2 linked regions of the Xenopus tropicalis genome follow. Each later gene encodes a partner of the first gene's protein in a complex. Links are inferred from orthologs where the notes say so. Each region holds a gene or a part of one and is shown on either strand. Other genes may lie near its edges.

Region 1 (3,500 bases):
AGTGAGTCATGTGACACAAATGACATCATTATACATACATGCATACATACATACACACACACATACACACATACACACAGGAAACCAGCAAGTACCTTATAGTCCTGTGGCTGTTTGTTCTGTGGGTTCAACCCACTGGGTCTGGTAAGATCCACAAGCAATTCTGCGACATTAGCAACGTCGACATCGGCTAAAGGAGAACTCGACGGGGCATTAAAGAGAGTCTGTAAAGTGGGGAAGAAAGTTTCTTCAAAACATTCTTGGTTTGACCTGCAGAAGGATAATCACAGAAAAAAAAATTTTGTTATTGGGCTCTTCACCAGGGCTTCCATATTTGTACCAAGTAGTACCAATGATTACTTCTCAGTAAACAAACACTGGGAAATAAGGATCTGATTGGGTGACATTGAATGGAAGGGCGCGTGACTGCTGTCAGACTGCTGCAGGTACCTTCTGTGATAAATCAACTCATTAAAAGCCTTTCTGCCAGTCAGGAAAGATTTGTTGAATAGAAAAACTACTGAGAATACTTCAGGATAGCCAAGCTTAAAGCGTTGATACATTTGTCCTTTAATTTTGTTTTCTGACCCATCTCCGATAATGCTTTTTTATATACGAGACATTTTCCTGTGTAAGGGGGTGAAAGGACTTTCACAAAAAAGTTATTTTGGGGTTTTATCCTTATTTTGTCTTTTCGTGTGTGACCAAACAAGCAGCCCAGAGGGGAGTCACACCAGACTAGATGTATAAACAATTTGGACATTTATATGCAAGCTCAGCAGAAATGAACAGGTATTTTTAAAAGTAACACTATGCCCATTATAGAATGTGCCAGTCACACATCATAACTGACTTACTACTGAGTCAAATGTTTATCAGAATAGTAATCTGGGGGTATTATACATAGAATTGGCACTGTGTCATCCTGCTATGAGTTCTGGGGGTATTATACATAGAATTGTCACTGTGTCACCCTGCTATGAGTTCTGGGGGAATTATACATGGAATTGGCACTGTGTCACCCTGCTATGAGTTCTGGGGGAATTATACATGGAATTGGCACTGTGTCACCCTGCTATGAGTTCTGGGGGTATTATACATGGAATTGGCACTGTGTCACCCTGCTATGAGTTCTGGGGGTATTATACATGGAATTGGCACAGTGTCACCCTGCTATGAGTTCTGGGGGAATTATACATGGAATTGGCACTGTGTCACCCTGCTATGAGTTCTGGGGGGTATTATACATGGAATTGTCACTGTGTCACCCTGCTATGAGTTCTGGGGGGTATTATACATGGAATTGGTACTGTGTCATCCTGCTATGAGTTCTGGGGGTATTATACATGGAATTGGCACTGTGTCACCCTGCTATGAGTTCTGGGGGTATTATACATGGAATTGGCACTGTGTCATCCTGCTATGAGTTCTGGGGGTATTATACATGGAATTGGCACAGTGTCATCCTGCTATGAGTTCTGGGTGTATTATACATGGAATTGGCACTGTGTCACCCTGCTATGAGTTCTGGGGGGATAATACATGGAATTGGCACTGTGTCACCCTGCTATGAGTTCTGGGGGTATTATACATGGAATTGGCACTGTGTCACCCTGCTATGAGTTCTGGGGGGATAATACATGGAATTGGCACTGTGTCACTCTGCTATGAGTTCTGGGGTTTTAAAAATGGAATTGTCACTGTGTCACCCTGCTATGAGTTCTGGGGGTATTATACATGGAATTGTCACTGTGTCACCCTGCTATGAGTTCTGGGGGTATTATACATGGAATTGTCACTGTGTCACCCTGCTATGAGTTCTGGGGGTATTATACATGGAATTGTCACTGTGTCACCCTGCTATGAGTTCTGGGGGTATTATACATGGAATTGGCACTGTGTCACCCTGCTATGAGTTTTAGCGGTATTATACATGAAAATGCCCTCACTTATATATTTACTAAGCATGTATTTGTAAAATGGGGAGCGTGTCTCCCAAAGTGGATGTGGCCTAAATTTTTTCTTTGCACGCTGCAAACTCTTCCCTGTCCCCGAATATCACTTTGAAAATCCCTTACTGTAGCAGCCAATACAGGGATAACTGAATGGTAAATCACAGCACATACCTGCAAGAATATGCAAAAATGGGAAAGAAAACACCCAGGCAATGTCGAAGCTTTGTATCCTCCTCCGTGACGGGATTGTACCACAGCAAAATCAAACGTGAGAGCAGTTTGGCACTTATTAACCTTCCAGAGAACATCAGCTTGGCCAAGCCTTCCGCTGTCTCTGTCCTTATTTCTGGAATCTAACAAGAAACCAAATGAGGCTAGTTACAGGCAGCATGAAAACTCTCTTTAATTCTCCTTTAATTATCACACTGGATTTCCTAAACATCTGGTGGGCACTGCTTGTGGGCAGGGAACCAACAGAGAGAGAGCAGCCCCTGAGGAGACCATTGATGAGAAGGCACAGCCCTGGCTAGGTTACCTCACTGTCCAAGAAGCGAGAGAACAGTTGCAGGATGCCATTAACAGTAGCAGTTTCTTCTTTGACTTCTTCATTAGTCAGCGTCTCATCTACCGTGTCCGGCTTTTCCTCCTCAGAAATCTCCTCATCTGCATTCTCCTGAGCTTTGCACTGGGAATCATCAGGATTGGAGGGCTTGGATTTGAGAATGTCCAGGCCAAAGAGCAGAAGCATATCAAACACTGCGCTCAGGGCACTGATCTTGACTTTCACCTCATCCAGCTGGGAAATCTGATTTTTAGGTGAAAAAGAAAAATAAGAAATAAACAGTCATGCAGTACTGTCGGATAATGGCTCCATATAGAGATTTTCCTTCTTACTTGTAATAACAGTGGGAGGTGTTGCCTTGCAAAGCCTTTATTCTGCAGAGCACAGCAGCCAATGCTCAGCACTGCCATATTCCGAACAGAGGGGTGAACGTTGGTTATGCCAGGAAGAATCTAATCCAAAAAAAAAAAAATTGAGGAAAAGCAGTGATGAAATAAACTGAACCTTTACTATTTAAACAGTAATGGGCAAAAATAAATAAATAAAAAAGAACAAAACTGACGTGCAACATGAAAAGCTTAATTCTTTAAGGTTTAGTTCTCCTTTAACCCAGGACGGCAGATTTCTGGAAGGAGAAGAATTCTCCGGCCCCACATGACTCCATGTAATGTATCTTTATGTTCATGTCATTATTCTACTGCCCCAGTTCTAAACTGCAACTGTGTTATGTCCAGTCATAGGTCAGGAATAAACTTACCAGAGATTCAATAATTTCGTTTATAGTTCCCCCTAGTCCTTTGGAAAGGGACAGGTGCTTGAGAAGTTCATTACACATAATCAGGCATTTCAGGAGTGTTTCTGGGTCATTCTAGAACACAAAAGGGAATATTCAGTTAGCTATCTAATACAGTGATATCAAGTCTTCTAGCAGTGATGTCCAGCCTGTGCCCCTTGAGATGCTGTTTAATTACAACTCCTAGAAT
Region 2 (3,500 bases), on another chromosome or scaffold:
AACTACCCAAGCAGGCAGCACTGTTATTTAAATCTAATTTTTTAGTGTATCTTGAAATCTAGAAAAAAAATATGTATTACTGTACAAGTGCTTAGAAAAGTGCTCTGAGCAGTGTAACATTAATTTGTTTTTGAGGGTTAACATTTTCTTTAACACTGTATCATCAGGCTTAAACTAGTGAAGCCATTGTTCACCAGCCTAAAACATTTGTTCTGATCTTAACATGACTTGCGTGTATCTTTTAGCGAACAGAATAGCAGCTCTTGGATAATGAATGAATATGTAATTCTAAGCAACTTTTCAACTTACATTCATTCAGAGATTGATGTAACTGTCTTTAACTACATGAAATGATTACTTTATATTCTAATTATCGCCTGATGGCTCTTGGGCTTTCATCAGCTTCTCTTATATATGTGAATTTCATCACTGTAGTTTTAAAGAGTTATGTAAAATGTATTCTGCTATATAAAATAAACAGATAACATTATGCTACCTATTTCCTGGTTGTCTGTGTCCTCAGTTGCCTGAGATTCCTTTCCTAGCCCACCAAGCACTTTGTAGACATCTGCATGAACAGCATCGACTCGCACTGCATATATTTTGGCACTGGCATCCAGAGTCCCAGCTGCAACCTAAAATCAAGTGTCAAAAGCAAAAGGCAAAATGAGCACTGAATGTGTGAAATTTTAATACTAAGCAACAGTTGCATCTGTGAGAGCCAAGTTCACTTACTTTAAAGTTAGTTAATTCGCTGTCTTTATGCTTCAAGATGTCACCCATGTAATCAATCAAATGCAACCCGAAAGCATTCTTAGTTGTTATTTTCTGTGGAAGAACAGTTTTACAAGGTCAAACCAAAGCAACTGAAGACCCAATAGGATAGTTAAGCTACAACATTGCTTACAATAAGATGGCTAAGCACAACCATTACAAAGTATAAAGCAAACAGCCCATGTTATCACAATACTGCTGACAGTAAAGATGATTAAAGGAGAACACATCTAACCATCTGTCCAAAAATAGCCTGCATATACAATATTTCTAATTTATCAGAGACTCTAAACTCAGCCTATGGCCACAAACTATGGGTCTGCCCTTATAGGTCAGCTTTAGACCAACAAGTGCATATTCTAAGGTGCTATAGATATTCTCAAAGTATAATAGAGAAAAAGTTCTGAGAAAGATTTAATATTGCTATAAGTAAAGCGTTAAATGTTTGCGCACCACTGCAGAAAAGAAGTAAAAATTACTTTGACATAGCAGGTCCATGTAAAGAGAAAAACAATTATTTTAACTGTATCATCCCCCAATTTTTCCCTTAATAACGTTAAAAGTAAAATGGTAAATAATTAATACTTCTAATCCTGCGGGAAAAATAAGTCATAAAAGTAAAAGACAGTAAACTGCGTATATTTTTACAAAGCAATTAACTAGAACAGTATTTCAGGAGAGACTTTTTCAGATTAAATTAGTAAAATGCTCACATTCTCCTGAGACAGCTTAATGCAGGTGGAATAATGATCTGAAATCTGCGTGTTGCTTAATTTGGGCAGTAGAGATGTTGGAGTATCTATTCCCCTGCTAAAAAAAACAAAAAAAAAAATAACACATTTATATTATGACATGAACATGTTTCTTTTTTGTAGAATTTCAACAAATACATAACCAATAATTGTCCAGGAATGTCTTTAATACAAGAGTTTTGTCTTTTACTACCACTTGAATGTGTGGAATTATTTTAAAAGGGGCTGTTCACCTTTGAGTTTAGTTTAAGTATGATGTTGACAACAGAGACAACTTGCAACTGGTCTTTATTTTTTATTTGTGTTTTTTTTTTTAAAATTATTCACTTTTTGATCAGAAGCGGTCTGGTTTGGAATTTTAGCAGTTATACTGTTGCTAGGGTCCAAATTCCCAGGGAGTGGTTTGAATTAGAGACTGGTATATAAATTCTTTAGTGATTTTAGAACTAGCCATACACACTCCTTCATTCAACACTAGAAACAACTTGGCACCCCCAGTGATTTTAACCTTTCTTTTAGGGATGCACCGAATCAAGAATTCTGTTCAGTATTCAGCCAGGGTTCAGCCTTTTTCGGATTCGGCTGAATCATATTTGATTCCAAAAAAATCACATGACTTTTTGTCATGTTAACACGGAAGCATATGCTAATTAGGATTCGGTTAGATACCATTGCTTGTTTTATTTCTGTTCTGAGACATAAGCATAAAGTCTCAGCATGTTAAGAAGGAAATGGAATAAAAACATACATATACAGAGCTTATATTCTGAAATGACAAGTGTGCCAACTTAGTTGAAACTGTCCAGCTTTGTATACAATAAACTACATTCCCTGCAGTAGCACTAATTTACTCCTAGGGGTTGGTGAGAACATTAGCTTCCTAAGGCAATATGGATATAGTCAATTTTTTTAATTTAAATTTTCTGTTCTAAGGCTCATGGGCCTCACATCTGGATTGGTAGCTGGTTACCAAGGTATAATTACCCCAGGCAGCAGTTTGAATGTCAGAATGGGAACTATAGAGCCTGAACAAAAAATAATCAATAAAAAAATAAGAACAACAATAAAATTGAGTGACCCAACAACTAGCTGGCGTTTTTATTTGCAGACTGTTAATAAACAGAATAGGAAGGCTAATAAAACACAAAAAAACGACCATATGAAAAGTAGCTTAGAATAGGTCCGTCTATAACAGTGATCCCCAACCACTGGCTCGTGGGCAACATATTGCTCACCACCCCCTTTAATGTTGCTCTCAGCGGCCTCAGAGTAGGTGCCCATTTTTACATTTCTGGCTTGGAGGCAAGTTTTGGAAGCACAGAGACACAGTTTTACTCCAAGCAGAGCCTCCTCCAGGCTAGCATTCCCCATGGGGCTACCATATAGCCAATCACAGTGGCATCCCCAAAGAACTTTTTTTCATGCTTGTGTGGCTCATTAACAATTTTTACATCTGAGTGTGGCTCACTAACAATTTTTACATCTGAGTGTGGCTCACTAACAATTTTTACATCTGAGTGTGGCTCACTAACAATTTTTACATCTGAGTGTGGCTCACTAACAATTTTTACATCTGAGTGTGGCTCACGAGTAAAAAAAAGTTAATGTACCACTATAACACTTCAGCTGAAAGAGTTTATTTTTTTGCCCCTTAAAGCAGACACACAAACTAGATAACTGGTCAATTACCTTTGAGCTGGTGAAATGGCAGATGCAGGGGAATCAGCATTGCTAAGCTGCAGGTCAATGACCCTGGACATACGCCGAAGTTTCCTTTCCCGTTCATCATCATTGCTAGTAAAGTTCTGCAGAGTGGGAGTACCAGCCGCACTGACGGGCTGAGGCCTAGTGGCTGGGGACAGAAAAGCACTGTCTGGGGTTGCTGGCTTTCTGCGCACTCCTGACTGAGGAGTTGATGTACTCATTTTGTCTTATCTAGAAAATACAAAGAATTACAAGCTACAACTTATACAG

The links.
Region 2: the proteins of ncapg (region 1) and ncaph are in contact, whole or in part, in a crystal structure (PDB 6IGX), measured with the Homo sapiens proteins. The link is inferred for Xenopus tropicalis from reciprocal best matches to the Homo sapiens genes NCAPG and NCAPH. Residues at the interface, in NP_071741.2 of Homo sapiens: Lys11, Phe14, Arg15, Gln18, His50, Tyr51, Lys53, Tyr54, Val55, Met56, Val57, Glu62, Ala64, Val65, Val68, Phe102, Ser106, Glu108, Ala109, Asn110, Ser111, Val114, Arg115, Ile149, Arg150, Lys152, Asp153, Lys154, Arg159, Glu188; in NP_056156.2 of Homo sapiens: Glu471, Ile472, Asp473, Phe474, Glu475, Asp476, Asp477, Ile478, Phe480, Val482, Tyr483, Phe484, Arg485, Lys486, Thr487, Ala489, Ala490, Thr491, Ile492, Leu493, Gln501, Asn502, Trp503, Ala505, Thr506, Thr507, Leu508, Phe512, Tyr514, Val516.

Annotation. Positions count from the first base shown.
Region 1 is NC_030677.2:29,183,540-29,187,039, reverse strand, and holds part of ncapg (condensin complex subunit 3), read right to left. Parts: intron 3,386-3,500; coding exon 3,275-3,385; intron 2,970-3,274; coding exon 2,850-2,969; intron 2,761-2,849; coding exon 2,491-2,760; intron 2,309-2,490; coding exon 2,127-2,308; intron 271-2,126; coding exon 96-270; intron 1-95. UniProt on the Homo sapiens protein: Regulatory subunit of the condensin complex, a complex required for conversion of interphase chromatin into mitotic-like condense chromosomes.
Region 2 is NC_030679.2:125,117,452-125,120,951, reverse strand, and holds part of ncaph (condensin complex subunit 2), read right to left. Parts: intron 3,462-3,500; 5' UTR 3,452-3,461; coding exon 3,216-3,451; intron 1,585-3,215; coding exon 1,488-1,584; intron 829-1,487; coding exon 736-828; intron 636-735; coding exon 497-635; intron 1-496. UniProt on the Homo sapiens protein: Regulatory subunit of the condensin complex, a complex required for conversion of interphase chromatin into mitotic-like condense chromosomes.